Macaca fascicularis: one gene and its partners. The main gene of each other region encodes a partner of the protein of the gene in region 3 in a complex. Links are inferred from orthologs where the notes say so. Each region holds a gene or a part of one and is shown on either strand. Other genes may lie near its edges.

What was found.
Region 1: the proteins of SART3 (region 3) and USP4 are in contact, whole or in part, in a crystal structure (PDB 5CTR), measured with the Homo sapiens proteins. The link is inferred for Macaca fascicularis from reciprocal best matches to the Homo sapiens genes SART3 and USP4. Residues at the interface, in NP_055521.1 of Homo sapiens: Asp437, Ser438, Ser439, Lys440, Gln490, Arg493, Glu494, Trp496, Asp497, Met500, Thr501, Ala505, Trp511, Tyr514, Lys529, Arg533, Cys537; in NP_003354.2 of Homo sapiens: Met24, Thr27, Leu28, Ser53, Trp54, Glu123, Gly125, Leu126, Phe127, Val128, Lys129, His130, Cys131, Lys132.
Region 2: the proteins of SART3 (region 3) and USP15 are in contact, whole or in part, in a crystal structure (PDB 5JJW), measured with the Homo sapiens proteins. The link is inferred for Macaca fascicularis from reciprocal best matches to the Homo sapiens genes SART3 and USP15. Residues at the interface, in NP_055521.1 of Homo sapiens: Ser438, Ser439, Lys440, Glu443, Gln490, Arg493, Glu494, Trp496, Asp497, Met500, Thr501, Ala505, Trp511, Tyr514, Arg533, Cys537; in NP_001239007.1 of Homo sapiens: Ser23, Leu24, Asp48, Trp50, Gly121, Met122, Phe123, Val124, Lys125, His126, Lys128.

Annotation. Positions count from the first base shown.
Region 1 is NC_088376.1:112,332,186-112,338,894, reverse strand, and holds the start of USP4 (ubiquitin carboxyl-terminal hydrolase 4), read left to right. Parts: upstream 1-2,227; 5' UTR 2,228-2,256; coding exon 2,257-2,357; intron 2,358-6,709.
Region 2 is NC_088385.1:69,320,637-69,326,617, forward strand, and holds part of USP15 (ubiquitin carboxyl-terminal hydrolase 15), read left to right. Parts: intron 1-4,097; coding exon 4,098-4,181; intron 4,182-4,271; coding exon 4,272-4,366; intron 4,367-4,464; coding exon 4,465-4,656; intron 4,657-5,525; coding exon 5,526-5,641; intron 5,642-5,818; coding exon 5,819-5,981. UniProt on the Homo sapiens protein: Hydrolase that removes conjugated ubiquitin from target proteins and regulates various pathways such as the TGF-beta receptor signaling, NF-kappa-B and RNF41/NRDP1-PRKN pathways.
Region 3 is NC_088385.1:115,380,872-115,386,852, reverse strand, and holds part of SART3 (squamous cell carcinoma antigen recognized by T-cells 3), read left to right. Parts: intron 1-307; coding exon 308-434; intron 435-1,528; coding exon 1,529-1,633; intron 1,634-4,521; coding exon 4,522-4,706; intron 4,707-5,316; coding exon 5,317-5,422; intron 5,423-5,981. UniProt on the Homo sapiens protein: U6 snRNP-binding protein that functions as a recycling factor of the splicing machinery. Promotes the initial reassembly of U4 and U6 snRNPs following their ejection from the spliceosome during its maturation.

The DNA of each region.
Region 1 (6,709 bases), on a different chromosome or scaffold from region 3:
TCCCTTGAGTCTCCCCTCCTGTTACATGCATCCTCATCTTTATTCTGCCAGCATTTTTTTTCAATACCACACCCAAATGTTACTCAAGTCAAAGGTTTCCTATGAGAGCAGGGGTTGTGCCTGGTGTTCTACAGCCTTTGGTTCACACCCTTTTTTTTTTTTTTTGAGATGGAGTCTGGCTCTGTCGCCCAGGCTGGAGTGCAGTGGCCGGATCTCAGCTCACTGCAAGCTCCGCCTCCCGGGTTTACGCCATTCTCCTGCCTCAGCCTCCGGAGTAGCTGGGACTACAGGCGCCCGCCACCTCGCCCGGCTAGTTTTTTTGTATTTTTTTAGTAGAGACGGGGTTTCACCGTGTTCGCCAGGATGGTCTCGATCTCCCGACCTCGTGATCCGCCCATCTCGGCCTTCCAAAGTGCTGGGATTACAGGCTTGAGCCACCGCGCCCGGCCTTTTTTGTTTTTTTTTTTTAGAGGGGGTCTCACTCTGTCGCTCAGGCTGGAGTACAGTGGTGCAATCTTGGCTCACTGCAACCTCCGCCTCCTGGGTTCAAGCAATTCTTCTGCCTCTGCCTCCCGAGTAGCTCAGACTATAGACATGCGCCACCACGCCTGGCTAACTTTTTTTTGTATTTTTGGTAGAGATGGGGTTTCACCATATTAGCCATGCTGGTCTCGAACTCCTAACCTCGTGATCTGCCCGCCATGGCCTCCCAAAGTCCTGGGATTACAAGCATGAACTGCCCTGCCGGGCGCCCAGCACTTTTTTTTTTTTTTGAGAGGACATTTCCGTCTCCACGTTGGTCAGGCTGGTCTCGAACTCCCGACCTCAGGTGATCTGCCGGCCTCGGGCCCCCAAAGTGCTAGGATTACAGGCGTGAGCCACCGCGCCTGGCCGGTTCACACCCCTTATTTGTATTTACTGTTTTTTTGAGACAGGGTCTCACTTTGCCGTCCAGTCTCGAGAGAAGTGGCACCATCTCGACTCACTGCAACTTCGACCTCCTGGGCTCAAGGGATCCTTCTACCTCAGCCTCCCGAGTACCTGGGACCACAGACGCGCGCCACCTCCCGGCTAATTTTTGTAGAGACAGGATTTCGCCATGTTGCCGAGGCTGGTCTCTAACTCCTGGGCTAAAGCTATCCTCCCGCCTCAGCCTTCCAAAGTGCTGGGACGACAGGCTTGAACCACTGCACCTGGCCTGGTTCACACCCTTTAATTGCACTTACCACATACTGCTAGGCATTGAGGTTATTTCTGAAACATCTCTACTCTTCCACTAGATTCTATGAGGGCAGGAACTAGGTCTTATTTTTCTCTGAGGACAAGAACTGTTAGACAAGTGTATGGAGACTCATCTAGGCCTGACTTCCTCTTTCCTCTGGGTTTATTTCTCCCTCCAGGAAGAGGGTTGTGTGTTTGTGTGAGCGGGGCGACTGGAAAACACAGTGTTCAGGACGTTGTATCTTGTTCCAGGAACTAAGTACATGCCTGGGTAACTAATGTGGAATACCTCTCCTTCCCCTGTTGCTATCGCCCCTCTGTGGCTGCTTGGCAAGTAGCTCAGTATGAAGAGCTGACGGAATTCTCAGGTGGGCCAGGTGGCTCTGGCGTCCAGATTGTTTAAGGCGACTGTTAATAACTACAGCACACCGTTCAGTCTTAGTCCCAAGGCGCTGATGCACGTGGTACTTCCCGAAATCCCTGTTAGGGCCGCTGGAGCAGGAGCCCGGATCCCACGTTTGGGCAGCTGACTCGCCTAAGGCCTCCAGCTGAAAGCGGAATGGCAGGGGTGAGAATGAACAGACCTAACTACGGGGCTTCTCGCACCTGGCCTGCATTTATTTAGGACCAGGATAACCTCGAAGGCCGGGCTAGGGTGCCCCATGGGTCGTGGGCTTGCTGTCTGACTCCCTGAGATCGGCGGGCTGAACAGAGCTTCATCCTGTAGCGCCATCCTGAGCAGAGGAAGGGGCGCCCGACGACCGCGTAGCAGGCGGCAGGGCGGGAGGAAGTAGCAGCTGCTGCTCCCCACCCACCCCTCTCGCATCTGCCTTTTCGCTCCACTGTTTGCCGGTGAGCGAAGTGGCGCGAGACTGGAGGGGATAAAAGACAGCGGCTGCAGGAGCCGAAAGTCGCGGCACGAGGTGGGGCAGGGGCGGGCACGCGAGCGTGCGTGCGTGCGTGCGTGGGCGCGGTCTATAGCACGCCGCGCGCGGGGCGGATGTCCGGGCCGGCTGGGCCGGGGCTGCGGACGAGATGGCGGAAGGTGGAGGCTTTGGTGAGCGACCGGATGCGGAGACTCAGAAGTCGGAGCTTGGAGCCTTAATGAGGACCACACTCCAACGCGGCGCGCAGTGGTGAGCATCCGGCTCTCTCTTCCTCTGTGCAGAACCAGGGGCCGAGTATCTGGCCCTTAGGCCAGCCCCCTTTTTCTCGGCTACAGTAGGGGCTGGGCGGGGATGGTATGTAGTGACCCTGGAAGAGTAGCCTGACACCTGCCCCTCGGGAGAACTCCAGGATCAGCTCTGGGAAAGCGCAGGCGGGGCCTGAGGGTCGCCTCGGCTCATTTGGAGCCCCAGTGGGTGGGCCCGGCGGGGGCTAGGGGGATGGATGTGGAGAAGGGGAATGTTGGCGGGGACCCTGAGGGTGGGGAGAGCCCTTTACCATGAGGACTCGCCGTGTGACCTTGGGCGAAGGTGTCACAGACCTGGATTCCTCACTGTTAAAACCAGGATAGCAATATTTGGCTCTCCGCCCTCAGTGGGTTGAGGCGAAAATCAGAAGTACTTTGTAACTTGTAAACTGCCAACAGATGTCAAGGTCAGAAGCTGAACAAATGTCTGAGAGCCCCAGATTATTTTGGTAGCAAGTGTCAAAAATATTTGTGACACCAGTATCTCGGAGTGGGAGAGGGGGATAGCCTAGGTCCTGGAGCTAGATAGAAGATGAAGAGTCCAGAATTTAGAAGACCCAGGCTGAGTTATTGGGCATCTTAACAGATTGTTTGGTGGAGGGGACAATACTTTGTACTACTGGAGAGATTCCTGGGTGGTATTATTGTGTAGTACAAAAACTAAGGCTAGACTTTGCATTTAGTATGATTGAGTGTTACCCATCTTGTTTTTTTGTTTGTTTGATTTTTTGAGACAGAGTTTCACTGTTATTGCCCAAGCTGGAGTGCAGTGGCGCCATCTCGGCTCACGGCAACTTCCGCCTCCCGGGTTCAAGCGATTCTCCTGCCTCAGCCTCCCAAGTAGCTGGGATTACAGGCTCACACCACCATGCCCAGCTAATTTTTTGTATTTTTAGTACAGACTGGGTTTCACCATGCTGAGCAGGCTGGTCTCGAACTCCTGACCTTGTGATCCAGCCGCCTCTGCCTCCCATTACAGGTGGGAGCCACCGTGCCCGGCCCGAGTGTTACCCATCTTTAAGAAACCATTGTGGGCCGGGCGCGGTGGCTCAAGCCTGTAATCCCAGCACTTTGGGAGGCCGAGACGGGCGGATCACGAGGTCAGGAGATCGAGACCATCCTGGCTAACACGGTGAAACCCCGTCTCTACTAAAAAAATACAAAAAACTAGCCGGGCGAGGTGGCGGGCGCCTGTAGTCCCAGCTACACAGGAGGCTGAGGCAGGAGAATGGCGTAAACCCGGGAGGCGGAGCTTGCAGTGAGCTGAGATCCGGCCACTGCGCTCCAGCCCCGGCGACAGAGCGAGACTCCGTCTCAAAAAAAAAAAAAAAAAAAGAAACCATTGTGGTGATGACCTACAGAGGAATTGAGCTGGAGGATAGAAAAATTGGGGTTATGAGGAGTACAGATAACAGCTTATGTATTCACCTTGAGCTAGCCAGTTTGTGAAAGTCAGAGTAAACAGGTACTTTTTTTGTGGGTTTTTTTTTTTTTTTTTTTTTTTTTGAGGAATTTCGCTCTTGTTGCCCAGGCTGGCGTGCAATGGCGTGATCTCGGCTCACGGCAACCTGTGCCTCCAGGGTTCAAGTGATTCTCCTGCCTCAGCCTCCCCAGTAGCTAGGATTACAGGCATGCGCCACTATGCCCGGCTAATTTTTTTTGTATTTTTAGTAGAGACAGGGTTTCTCCATTTTGGTCAGGCTTGTCTCAAACTCCCGACCTCAAGTGATTCACCCGCCTTGGCCTCCCAAAGTGCTGGGATTATAGGCTAGAGCTACCACGCCTGGCCTAGCAGAGGTACTTCTCAAGTTAACCTGTATAGGGCTCATAAAGAATACTCAGCAGAAGCAGAGGAAGTTTAAGACTAAAATCATACAGTAAAATTGTATGGAAGGTATTGCTCAAGGGATTTGGAAGAAAAATAGCATTTTCGAGACGGATGTGTTTATGGATCCTTGTGACCTCTGGGAAGTTGCCTGAACTCCTCTCACATTTGTTGGTTATACAGTTTTAAGGATGCACCAATATACTTGTTGATGCTTTGTTGCTCCACAGAGATTCTGTTTAAATTGTAAAACAGCAGAGTGATACTTTTTTTTTTTTTTTTTTTGAGACGGAGTCTTGCTGTGTTGCCAGGCTGGAGGAGTACAGTGGCATGATCTCAGCTCACTGCAATCTCTGCCTTCCGGGTTCAAGCGATTCTCCTGCTTCAGCCTCCCTAGTAACTGAGATTATAGGCAGGCACCACCACGCCCAGCTAATTTTTGTGTTTTTATTTATTTTTTTATTTATTTATTTTTTTTTGAGACGGAGTCTCGCTCTGTCACCCGGGCTGGAGTGCAGTGGCCGGATCTCAGCTCACTGCAAGCTCCGCCTCCCGGGTTCACGCCATTCTCCTGCCTCAGCCTCCCGAGTAGCTGGGACTACAGGCTCCCGCCACCGCGCCCGGCTAGCTTTTTGTATTTTTTAGTAGAGACGGGGTTTCACTGTGTTAGCCAGGATGGTCTCGATCTCCTGACCTTGTGATCCGCCCGTCTCAGCCTCCCACAGTGCTGGGATTACAGGCTTGAGCCACCGCGCCTGGCTAATTTTTGTGTTTTTAGTAGAGACGGGGTTTCACCATGTTGGCCAGGATGGTCTTGATCTCCTGACCTCGTGATCCACCTGCCTCAGCCTCCCAAAGTGTTGGGATTACAGACATGAGCCACCTCTCCCAGCCAGCATAATGATACTTTAAAAATATAAATAGGTCTGGCACAATGTCTCAGGTCTGTAATCCCAGCACTTTGGGAGGCTGAAGCAGGAAGATCACTTGAGGCCAGGAGTTCAAGATCAGCCTGGGCAACATAGCAAGACCTAGCCTCTACAAAATAAAAATATAAAAATAAATTAGCCAGGCATGGTGGTATGTACCTATAGTCATAGCTACTCAGAGGCTGAGGCAGGAGGATCACTTGAGCCCAGGAGTTTGAGGCTACAGAGAGCTATGATTGTGCCACTGCACTCTAGCCTGGGTGACCCTCTCTCTAAGGAAATAAATAGATAAATAAAATACCACATTTGCTTACATTTAAGTAAAAAAGTGGTAAGTTGGCCGGGCGCGGTGGCTCAAGCCTGTAGTCCCAGCACTTTGGGAGGCCGAGACGGGCGGATCACGAGGTCAGGAGATCGAGACCATCCTGGCTAACACGGTGAAACCCCGTCTCTACTAAAAAAATACAAAAAACTAGCCGGGCGAGGTGGTGGGCGCCTGTAGTCCCAACTGCTCGGGAGGCTGAGGCAGGAGAATGGCGTAAACCCGAGAGGCGGAGCTTGCAGTGAGCTGAGATCCGGCCACTGCACTCCAGCCTGGGCGGTAGCGAGACTCCGTCTCAAAAAAAAAAAAAAAAAAAAAAAAAAAAAAGTGGTAAGTTGAATATGAAGCACAACTTAATGCTTTTTGACAAGATGAACATACCTAAGTGCTATTATATGTACATGTGTATGTGTATATTTATATATGTACACGCATGTTATATACTTTTTTTTTTGAGACAGGTTTTTATTCCTGTCACCCAGGCTAGAATGCAATGGCGTGATCTCAGCTCATTGCAACTTCTGTCTCGCGGGTTCAAGTGATTCTTGTGCCTCAGCCTCCCGAGCAGCTGGGACTATAGGCATGTGCCACCACACTCAGCTAATTTTTGTATTTTTAGTAGATGGGGTTTGTTGCCCAGGCTGGTCTTGAACTCCTGAGCTCAAGTGACCATCCGCCTCAGCCTCCCAAAGTGTTGGGATTATAGGTGTGAGCCACTGTGCCTGGCCTTGTGTGTACATTTTTGGAACTCATTTGGTCCTTAAAAGAAAACAAGTGGATGGTGTTTCTAACCCATTTTCAGAAAGAGCATTAGTTTAGTGCTGTTCATGTCAAGTAAAACAGTGTAACCAAACTGTCTGCCTGGACTGGGACCTCTATAAAGATCATTATGAAATTAATGACTTGTGGTAGGGTGCGGTGGCTCACGCCTGTAATCCCAGCAATTTGGGAGGCTGAGGTGGGCAGATTACCTGAGGTCAGGAGTTTGAGACCATCCTGACCAACACGGAGAAACCCTGTCTCTACTAAAAATACAAAATTAGCCGGGCGTGGTGGCACACACCTGTAATCTCAGCTACGGGAGGCTGAGGCAGGAGAATCGCTTGGACCCAGGAAGTGGAGGTTGCGGAGAGCCGAGATCACACTGTTGCACTCCAGCGTGGGTGACAAGAGAGAAACTCTGTCTCAAAAAAAAAGGCCAGGCACTGTAATCCCAGCAC
Region 2 (5,981 bases), about 46 Mb from region 3:
GTCATGATGTCTATATGAAAGCTATACTTTGAACAAAATTATGATCTTACCATTCAGGGATGTATTTGGGTTTACTGTCAACAAAGGCAGAGTGTATGTAGTGTTCATTAAAAACACAGTCCTTTTATTCAAAGTAATTAAAGTCTAGTAGATACTAGGTATGTACTTAGTTATGCAAATTTAAGCTATTTGTTTTTCTGCTGCTTTATGTTTTCTTTATGAACTCATTGAACACAATGCCCTCATCAATATTTCACTGGGGAGTGCTAAGTACTATCCCTTATCTGTGACCAGAGCCAATAAAGACCTGCTTTTACTTTTGGCCTGGGGAATATGTGTTCACATTTTTAAAGTTATGTCCTTTAGGTATTTACTTATTCACTCTTTTTTAAGTACAAGATTGTTAACATTCTTTTCAATGGTGAAAAACTATAACAGTGCCAAACCACATCCTTACCTCTCTAGTTTGTAACTTTGCAAATATACACCAATGAGTGTAATGGAGCAAGAGAGCATAGAATAATGAGTATAAATTTACTGCAACAAAAAATAAATGTAGATATTTTATTCCTCTAAAGCACATTTGTTAGAGATAATATTCTCCCATGCCAATAATATAAGTAATCTATATCATAATAGTGGCAAATTGCATTAATTTACACATTAGTCCATAAGGTATATGATAAGTACTCTTCCATAAATTGGGCTCGAAATTATTTTTCCAGCAATGTGAATTTCATTGACTTACCACTTTTCTCATTTGGTGACCAATGATATAAATTTGTGGAAGTTAGAGCCATGGTTAGCACAGAGAAATTCGGTTGTTTTGTGTTTTGTTTTTTTGTTTTTTTTCTTTTTTCCATTTAGAGGCAGTACCAACTCAAATACAGAATGATCACTTGCTTTAACCAGTTCGTGAGGAAAGTGAAATTAGCTGAGTTTGCCTATTTGTTGAGTTTTCCCATCACTGAAGTTGATTTAGGTCATGGAAGCTTATTAGGAAAAATGTTGAATGTGTATTATGTCTTGGGCTCTCATGCTGTGCAAGGTGCTAGAAATACAATGGTGTTTCTAGTCCTTGTTCTTCAAGAAGCTTGTCATACAGTGTGAAAATTGCTCTGACAGGGTGCTGCAAGAAAACACAGAAAGAGTAACCTACCCAAACTAGTTATGAGGCCTGTGATGAATTCTGAAGGACAATTAGGTTATAAGCAGGGGAAAACTAGAAATAAAAGCATTATAGGGCAAGATAGTGGCATGTAGAAAGAACTTATGGCAAAAGAGGACATGGCCCACTTCTGTAGTCTACAAGTATGGCAAGCAGGAGCTAGATCACAAAGAACTTTGATGCCAGTATAAGAAGTTTGAACTTCATCCTAAAAACTAGGGAAGCCATTAAAGACTATTAAGTATAGATATTATATGGCCAGAATTGTGTTTGAGAAAGATGATTCTGGCTAGCACAGAGATTGGTTAGAAAAGGCTTAGCACTAAGACCAGATAAGAAGCTTTTAGTGATCAGACGACAGACAAATGACAAACGCTTCAGCTCAGAAAATGAGTGTCAGGATGGCAGTTTGAAGAACCAGTTGAATGTGGGAAGTGAAAATGTATGAGTATATTCAAAGATGATGCCAAGTTTACTTGACAGGAAAAGAGGAGACAGCAGTGCTGTTTTAGTGGAATATATAGGAAGAACAAGTTGAAGAAGGAATCGATTTTCGTATTGAGCATGGTGGCCTAACATGACCCAATCCTGTGTTTAGCATTGGACATGCTGACTTATAGATGCATGAGAACACTTAGGTAGAGATATCCAGTAGGCAATGAATTTGTGTATCTAGACCAAAGGAGAGAGACTGCTTTAGATGTAAATTGGGCAATGAGCTCTATGAAAATGATAGTCAGTGTTTTAGAAGAATGAGATTACTTAAGGCTAAGGTGACCCTGTGATTTATCATCTAAACAAGAACTCTTTTGAAAATAGAAGGGACTGTCATTAATAATTATACTAGGATATCAGGCTAATCCAGGACTGGCCAAAGCAAATCAGGAGATACTGTCACCTCATCCAGGGAGAGCATATAAAATTGAGAAGAAGGCTAAAGACAAAACTCTAAAGAACACTATAGGAGAACTTCAAAAGGAGAATATGATCATAGCAATAGAAAAGAATTAAGAAATAGTCGTGTTATAAGGAAAGGGAATTTCTTAAGGAGAAAGTGGTCAGCAGTCATATTACAAAGAGGTCAATAAAATAAAGACTGATAAGTTGTAAACAGTATTGGCAGCCTTGGAAACAAGTTAAATAAAGAGGTGAAGACAAGCCAGCAAGAGGGTTGAGAAGTAAATGTGATAAGGAAATTATAATATAGATACCATTAATAAAGTTATTTATAAAATAGAGGAAAAGGGGAGATAATTAGAGGGAAAGCAATGAGGGACGCTTGTTTTTTGAGAGACTTTATATTCCAGTGCTTATGCAAGAGTCAAGATAAAATGGAAGAAAGAATAATTGCTGGGTTTAGGTCCCAGAGAAAGCAGAAGAGCATGGGATTTAGAGCATAGATGCTAGGGTTAGCCTTGAATAAGAAAAGAGACACCTGTCTTCCCATGTGTTGCAAGAGACAAAAAAGTACCTATATGTATTCAAAGAAGTTAGTAGGAGAACAGGAAGTTGGAGATTTTCCCACCCAGTAGCTTCTGTTTTTGAGGTAAAATAGGTATTCTGCTGATATTAAGGGAGCAGTAGTGAAATAGGAAGCCTAAAGAATGGTGAAGTTTTTTTGTTTTTTTGTTTGTTTATTTGTTTTTGAGGCGGGGTCTTGCTCTGTCACCCAAGTTGGAGTGCAGTACGGTGTGATCTCAGCTCTCGCTCACTGCAACCTCTGCCTCCTGGGCTCAAGGGATTCTCCCACCTCAGACTCCCAAGTAGCTGGGACTACAGGTGTGTGCCTCCATGCCCAGCTAATTTTTTGTATTTTTGTAGCAACGGGGTTTTGCCATGTTGTCCAGGCTAGTCTCGAACTTCTTGGGCTTAAGCGATTCACCCGCCTTGACCTCCCAAAGTGTTGGGATTATAGGCGTGAGCCACTGCACCCAGTCCGATGAAGATTTTAAATAGTTATTGAGATAAATGAGAGAATAAGCAGATGTGTGATATGCAGAATTATTTCTGGGTACTGTCAAAGGGTCGGTTGAGATTGGGCACTGTGAATTTGTAGCACACCAACCTCTAAAATTGAGAAATTTTCTCCAGCACATATGAACAGCTCTGAGAAAGTTTAGCAAGAGTGGAATGAATAGAATTGAGTAACAAAGACATTAAAGGTTCGCGATAAAGCATGTAGGGCCTGGGTGGAAGGGCAAGAAGACAGTAGGGAGCTGGTAAACTGGGAGAAAACAGAGTTAAAAGGAATAGAAATCTCTGTGCAAGCCAAGAAGAGAGAAGAATGAATTTCCAGAAGTAAGAAGTAGCGGTTAGACAGTAGCCTGTTAGTTTAAGATAGTAAAAGTGGGGCTGGGTGCAGTGGCTGACTCCTGTAATCCCAGCATTTTGGGAGACTGAAGCAGAAGGATCACTTGAATCCAGGATTTTGAGACCATTCTGGGCAACATAATGAGACCTCGTCTCTAAAAAATAAAAATTAGCCACTCATGGTGGCACACGCCTGTAGTCCTAGCTACGCAGGAGGCTGAATTGGGAAGATGGCTTGAGCCTGGGAGGTTGAGGCTGCAGTGAGCCAAGATCATGCCCTGTACTCCAGCCTGGGTAACAGAGTGAGAGCCTGTCTCTAAAAAACAAACAAAAAAACATAGCAAAAGTGGGAGCAGTTTCAAGTGATGACAGGATCTAATAAGTTGACTAAGGTTGATTAATGCAAATGTCTTTGAATTGAGGAACCAAGGAATGATAAGACTAGGACAAATTATCCATGTGGACATTGTCACCCAGGACCCAGGATGGTGGCAAGATTAGAAACAAACACTGAGCCAAATGCCAAATGAATGTGAGGTAGCAACCATGAGGTCACTCTCATTTACTGAATTTTTTTTCCAAAGTAACAAATTTATTACAATTCTTTTTTGTTTTTTAGTACAAAGTGGTTGTCCCCAAAATTGGAAATATATTAGATCTTTGTACAGCATTGTCTGCTTTGTCAGGAATACCTGCAGATAAGGTAAGATGTTTCTGGGGTTGAAGTATATAAGTTGGTATTTAGTTTCTTAGTGTTGTAAAACCAGCTTAATAGAAATTTATTTCCTTTTAGATGATAGTTACTGATATATACAATCATAGATTTCACAGAATATTCGCTATGGATGAAAACCTTAGTAGTATTATGGAACGGGATGATATTTATGTGTAAGTATAAAACTCATTGTGCAAAATATTACTTGAAAAAAAAATCAAAAGAAGTAACCTAAAATTTTGAGAGTTTATGGTCAGTTTTGTCCTTGTAGGTTTGAAATTAACATCAATAGGACAGAAGATACAGAGCATGTGATTATTCCTGTTTGCCTAAGAGAAAAATTCAGACACTCAAGTTATACCCACCATACTGGTTCTTCACTTTTTGGTCAGCCTTTTCTTATGGCTGTACCACGAAACAATACTGAAGACAAACTTTATAATCTCCTGCTCTTGAGAATGTGGTAAGTGCCAAACAATTCTACATTGACAAAATAAATATGGGAATAAAATATAAAATAGCTAATAAAAATAAACACACAAGGTACTATCAGAATATAATTATACAAGTCTGTATTGTCTCAGTTTTGTTTATAGTCAGATTATAGTCCTAATCCACTTTCTTATTCACGTAAAACACATTATGGAGGTAATTTCAAACCCAGGAAGCATGAAGTCTGTAGCAATTTTAGGCCAAAAGTTTACAGTTGGAAGGAAATAGGAATTTATGTTATAATAATTATGTGTTACATGTTTGTTCTGTGAAATCATAACAAATGTCAAATGCTATATGTTTGCACTGTGAAATGACAAATGTCAAATGCTTCATTTCTTTATATACATTACCAATTCATGATTAATAGTATTGTAAGGCAGCCTATTTTTTGCCTTCCTAAATCCCCTTATTTGAATTATAAAGTTATCAAGAATGTCATTTGATCCCTTTTATCTTTGAAAGCTGATATATTTAGTATTCTTTCTTGCATATCTAATTATTATGGTTTCATAACCCATATGTAAAGATCACATTATACAAAAATAAGTGTTTTTAGCAACAATATATACCATCTAAATGAGGATAAGTTGAGAAATTATTTGCAACAAATATTTAACATTTAACCTAAAAGGTAACGTACTAATTATTTTTATAAAGAGGAGCAAAACAAATTATTAGTCAGCTATATGTATGGTACTGTAAGTTTGATTTTAACCTTGAATCTACTAAGTGACCACTGTTACATTAAAAAGTTTTGTTTTACTGATAGAATGAAAACATTTTTAAAGTTTTTATCTTTGTAGTACTGAACTTGTTTGATTTCTGATTTTACTTAAGCCGATATGTCAAAATATCTACTGAAACTGAAGAAACTGAAGGATCCCTACACTGCTGTAAGGACCAAAATATTAATGGGAATGGCCCAAATGGCATACATGAAGAAGGCTCACCAAGTAAGACTTTTCTGTTAAATTATAAAAATGTTTCACTTAAATAATTGCTTCAGAGAGAAAGTTAAGAAAATGGGAATTAAAGAGCTAAAAAATACCTGCAAACCTACGACTAATAATATTAATAATTTAAAAATATAACATTGAGTTTATTTAAAGTTCTCTAATATCTAAAATTAGGTGAAATGGAAACAGATGAGCCAGATGATGAATCCAGCCAGGATCAAGAACTTCCCTCAGAGAATGAAAACAGTCAGTCTGAAGATTCAGTTGGAGGAGATAATGATTCTGAAAATGGATTATGTACTGAGGACACTTGCAAAGGTCAACTCACGGGACACAA
Region 3 (5,981 bases):
TAACTTACCTGAGGTCACATACTTTTTATTTGTTTCATTAGAATGCCTCCTTTATTTCCGAGAGAACCCTGATGGCTTCTAGCAGGAACTGTAACAGATTTGAGGGAGCTTTATGTTTGTTTCAAAAGCCTCTTTTATTGTTTTGTCTTCTGCCTGTGGGTACACGCTGGGTTGCTGTTTCAGTGGTTTTCTCAGATAGCACATTTATTTTGTTTGTGGCAGGTATGTGTGTAGTTACCAGTAGTGACAAAAGCTAAGTTACTTGATGATGGCATTTTAAATTTCAACTTGTTTCTTTTCCTGTTAGTTGTCTATCAACGTCTATGACTATAACTGCCACGTGGACTTGATCAGGCTGCTCCGGCTGGAAGGGGAGCTTACCAAGGTGAGGATGGCCCGCCAGAAGATGAGTGAGATCTTTCCCTTGACTGAAGGTAAGCTTCAGCAGTCAGGCTGCTTTTAGAAACAGAAACAAGGCTTGTATATTTGTTTCATTGTTGAAAGTGGGACATGCTCCTTGTAGAAAACCTGGAACATACAGTGTAGTAGAAAGAAGAAAACCCATCAGAGTTAGCTATTTTTAGTTTATTATCTTGTAGTTTTTTGCAAAATGTAGTTATGATCATATAACACGGATTTTGAATTCTGATTTTTTAATTATAACGTTATGGTAAACATTTGTAATGTGATTAAACTTGAATCCCATTTCTATTTCCCATTTCAGTATTTATGTATTTAATCCATTCTCTTGAAACCAGAAAATTGTAAATATATTTAAACTTTTACAGACAGCTTTTTATGTAAATGTTTCATACATTAATTGTTCCAGAATAGTTGGGCATTTAGGTTATTTCTACTTATTTGCGTATTAGAAACATAATTGCACTGAACAACTCTTTAGTCTTCATGAATATTCATAAGTGATCTTTTGGGCAGTGCTTAGGACACTTTGGTCCTAGATCCCACTCTGCCCCTTTTCCCTTCTGCAAAGCATAACTGCTGAGTGTAGATGCTAGAGTCAGATGACCTAGATTCATTCCTGGCTACATCGTTTACTATCTGTGTGACCTTAAGCAGATTATGTAAACATTCTGAGACTCAGTTTTTCTAGCAGTTAAATGATGGCAGCAGTAGTTTCTGCCTTGTAATGTATGACAGAATAGGATGAGCTATTCTACCTATAACACTTAACACATGCCTGGCATGTTGTAATCCTTAAATAGATGTCATTATTTTTAGTGTTACTATCACCAACCTTACAGGATTATGATAAAGACTGAATGAGAAAAGTGCTTTGCCAAATATGAAATGCCTAACAAGTAGAGGATGTTATGATTTTAGTGATTTGATCTTATTTGGAAGCATAAAATCTCCTATGTGCTTAGTTCAGGTTTTAAGAAGTGAATTTCTGGAACAATGCCAGGTTGTGTAAGATGGATGAAGCATTGGCGTGCTGATGTTTCTTGGTAAAGTCCCTGCTCTCAGCCTCCCCTTTGGTATTAATGCGGGAAGTACTCTTGTCTCGTAGAGCTCTGGCTGGAGTGGCTGCACGACGAGATCAGCATGGCCCAGGACGGCCTGGACAGAGAGCATGTGTATGACCTCTTTGAGAAAGCTGTGAAGGATTACATTTGTAAGTTCCCGTGGACTTTTTTAGGGTATCTGAAAATGTCATGTAGATCAGTCTGCTGTTGAGGACTGTATTATGAGATGCTGCTACCCAGAAAAGGGAACTTTAGTCTAACAATTAGCAAGATTTAAGTTCAATCGTCTTGTCATTGTCTTTGTTCTTTAATTGAGGAAGTGTAGTTTTAAAATAAAAGTGGAAGAAGCGCTTGCAGTAAGGGAATGAGTACACTCACACTCAGGATGTACTGACAGAGCTTACATGGCATTTCCTGGTGATCTTTTATACATTGAATAGGGTTTTAGAGGTTTTGGACAAGATGCTTTAAAAAAAAAAGATGAAAACATTAAAAGAAAACCTTTTTATTTTGAAGTAATTATAGAGTATAGGAAGTTGCAGAAATAGTACAGAGAAGTCTTGTGTACTCACTTTACCCAGTTTCCTCCAATATCTTGTTTCTGTAGTACAAAATCAAAACCAGGAAATTGCCGGGCGCGGTGGCTCAAGCCTGTAATCCCAGCACTTTGGGAGGCCGAGACGGGCGGATCACGAGGTCAGGAGATCAAGACCATCCTGGCTAACACGGTGAAACCCCGTCTCTACTAAAAATACAAAAAACTAGCCGGGCGAGGTGGCGGGCGCCTGTAGTCCCAGCTACTCGGGAGGCTGAGGCAGGAGAATGGCTTAAACCTGGGAGGCGGAGCTTGCAGTGAGCTGAGATCCGGCCACTGCACTCCAGCCTGGGCGACAGAGCGAGACTCCGTCTCAAAAAAAAAAAAAAAAAAAAGAACAACAACCAGGAAATTGACCTTGGAACAATGGGAAAAAAAGACATTTTATTACATGTGTAGATTCATCTAACCACTGCTGCAGTCCAGATACAGAATCGTTCTGTCCCCACAGAGACCTCCCTTGCCTGCTGGTATTGACATCTTACCGGTGCAAGTGGAGTATAGAAGACTCACCTCCCTTTAAGTCTCTTTACTGTGCCCTGTATATAGTATAAGTGTCTTAAATATTTTCTGTATGTGAACTGGGGACCACATCAGACAATGCTGTGGACAAAATGCTATTAAAAAGCGTTTTAAGGCTGGGCGTGGTGGCTCACACCTGTAATCCCAGAACTTTGGGAGACCGAGGCTGGTGGTCACTTGACATTGGGAGCTCAAGACCAGCCTGGCCAACATGGCAAAACCCCATCTCTGCTAAAAATACAAGAATTAGCCAGGCATGGTGGCACGTGCTTGTAATCTCAGCTACTCAGGAGGCTGAGGCAGGAGAATTGCTTGAACTGAGGAGGTGGAGGTTGCAGTGAGCTGAGGTTGTGCTACTACACTCCAGCCTGGGCAACAGAGTGAGATTCTGTCTCAGAAGAAAGCATTTTAAGGTCAGGCTTGGTAGCTTATGCCTGTAATCCCAGCAATTTGGGAGATCAAGGCAGGCAGCTCACTTGAGCCCAGGAGTTTGAAATCAGCCTGCCCAGCATGGGGAAACCCCATCTCCACTAAAAATACAATTAGCTGGGTGTGGTGGCATGTAGGCCTGTAATCCCAGCTACTCAGGTGGCTGAGGCATGAAAATTGCTTGAACCCAGGAGGCAGAGGTTGCAGTGGACCAAGATTATGCCACTGTACTCCAGCCTGGGTGACAAAGTGAGACTCTGTCTCAGAAGAAAAAAAAAAAAAAAGGCATTCTAAAAATTTCCCCTTTCAGACTGGGGGTGGTGGCTCACGCCTGTAATCCCAGAACTTCGGGAGGCTGAGGCAGGTGGATCTCGAGTTCAGGAGTTTGAGACCATCCTGGCTAACACAGTGAAACCCCATCTCTACTAAAAATACAAAAAACTAGCCAGGCGTGGTGGCACACACCTGTTGTCCCAGCTACTCGGGAGGCTGAGGCAGGAGAATCACTTGAACCCAGGAGGCGGAGGGTGCAGTGAGCTGAGATCATGCCTCTGCACTCTAGCCTGGGTGACAGAATGAGACTCTGTCTCAAAAATCAAACAAACAATTTCCCCTTTCAGATTTCATATCCTCTTCCTTGTTGATTTCCCACTGGGAGCAGTCCCTCTTGTGAGAAGCATTGCTGCTTACCATATAGACTGTTCTGAGATAGAGAATTTTTTGTGTATCTTTGCAAGCCAAAAAGAATTCACAATTTTTTGGTTTATAATCTGTATAATGAAAATAAGAGGTGTTTTATGAATATACAAGTATAGTATGTGTGTGTGTGTGTGTGTGTTATCTTTTTTTTCTTTTTTGAGAGTCTCGCTCTCAGGCTGGAGGGCAGTGGTGTGATCTCGGCTCGCTGCAACCTCCCCCTCACCTGAGTTCAAGCGATTTTCCTGCCTCAGCCTCCCAAGTAGCTGGGACTACAGGTGCCTGCCACAACGCCCGGCTAATTTTTGTATTTTTAGTAGAGACGGGGTTTCACCATATTGGCCAGGCTGGTCTCGAACTCCTGACCTTGTGATCTTCCCGCCTCAGTCTCCCAAAATGCTGGGATTATAGGTGTGAGCCACTGCACCTGGCCAAATGTATTTTTAAAAACTATATCTGTACCTCTGCTCTGTGGCCCATGAGTCTTCTTTTAGAACCACTGATAATTTTAGCAGTGCATGGTGTTCCCATGATTTCTGATGATCCTGTTACCCACTTCTTTCTCTCTCACAGCCATTGTTAATAGCACCAGTTATCTTTTTCTGAGGATCTATGGTCTTCCCCAGACTGTAATGTTTTTTGGTCCTTTATGGTCATCTCTGCTGTTAGGCCTTCACTGTCATTTAGTGCTGCTGTCTGAGAACTTTTTTGGTAGGCACATTTCTTTTGTTTTGCATCAGTTTTGATATTTGGGTATTTTATACCCCAAACTAATTGAACACTTCTTATTTTTAGGTCCTAACATTTGGCTAGAGTATGGCCAGTACTCAGTTGGTGGGATTGGTCAGAAAGGTGGCCTTGAGAAAGTTCGCTCCGTGTTTGAAAGGGCTCTCTCGTCTGTTGGTTTGCATATGACCAAAGGACTCGCCCTTTGGGAGGCTTACCGAGAGTTTGAAAGTGCAATCGTGGAAGCTGCTCGGGTGAGTACCTGTGGTTGTCTCTGAACAGGCTGGGGCTGTCTTTGTAAGTCTCCTTGGAAGGATTATTTTGAAACACATGTCCAGGATGAATCTTGCAGTTCATATAGTTAACAAAATGGTCTTTGCCAATCCCTTAGTGGTTGGGTGATAGATAACCTTTTTTATACCCCTTGTAGCATTTGGTTCAATATGTATGGAAGAGGTCGTATACATTTTTTTAGCTTGAACTGAAAATTTGTTGAGATACTTTTTGAAGTAGAAAGAACCAGAGTTGGCCAAGTACGGTGGCTCATGCTTGTAATCCCAGCAGTTTGGGAGGCTGAGGCCAGATGATCTCTTGAGTTCAGGAGTGCAAGACCAGCCTGGGCAATATAGTGAGACCCCATCTCTACAAAACATAAAACATTAGCTGGGCGTGATGGCATATGCCTATGATCCTAGCTACTCAGGACTCTGAGGTGGGAGGATTGCATGAGCCTGGAGCATGAGGCTGTAGTGAGCTGTGATCACACCACCGCACTCCAGCCAGGGTGACAGTGAGAACCCTTCTCAAAAGAAAAAACAAAGAAAGAACCACAGTTTGTTATTTACTACTAATTTGCTTCTTTAGCCCGTAGCTGGCTTCCTTTCCCCTTTTGACCGGGAACAAACCTTTGATTCACAGCTTGAGAAAGTCCACAGTCTTTTCCGGCGACAGTTGGCGATCCCACTCTATGGTAAGAGAAACTGACATGTCAATAGCCAGCCCTCTATGGTTTTTAAAATACTTTGGGGGAATGACATGTAGTTAGACCTTTCCCACCATCCTGTGAGGCAGGTAAAGCTTGTGTTCTTACTGTCCTTGGATATTGTCTCTCGGGATGAGGTCCTAGGTAAAAACATCTTGAATGTTAGTGCTTAAGAGGGTTGTGAGGGTCAGAAGCAGGACTGGAAGCCAGACTCCCTGACTCCTAGGTGAGAGCTCTTTTCTCCTTTGAGACCTAGCTGGAAAGGCAGAGATAGGGTCTCTGAAAGGAATAGTGAATGACACCGGTATTTTTGGGGGAAACGTCATTGAACAAGAGTTCCATTATAATCATTTTCTCTTCATAAGTAACCTCTTCCGTAACAGCAGGAATTTTGCGTGGGTTTAGATCATTCCTCTGTGGGAGGGATTTCGTTCAGAAGTGCAGTTGATTGGAAGTACTCATAAGTGAGTTTCTTGGGGGTTGGTAAAGAGTTTCCTTATTTTGTAAATACATTTTGGCAATCTAAGCCTTTTGAGTCTTTGGAGCT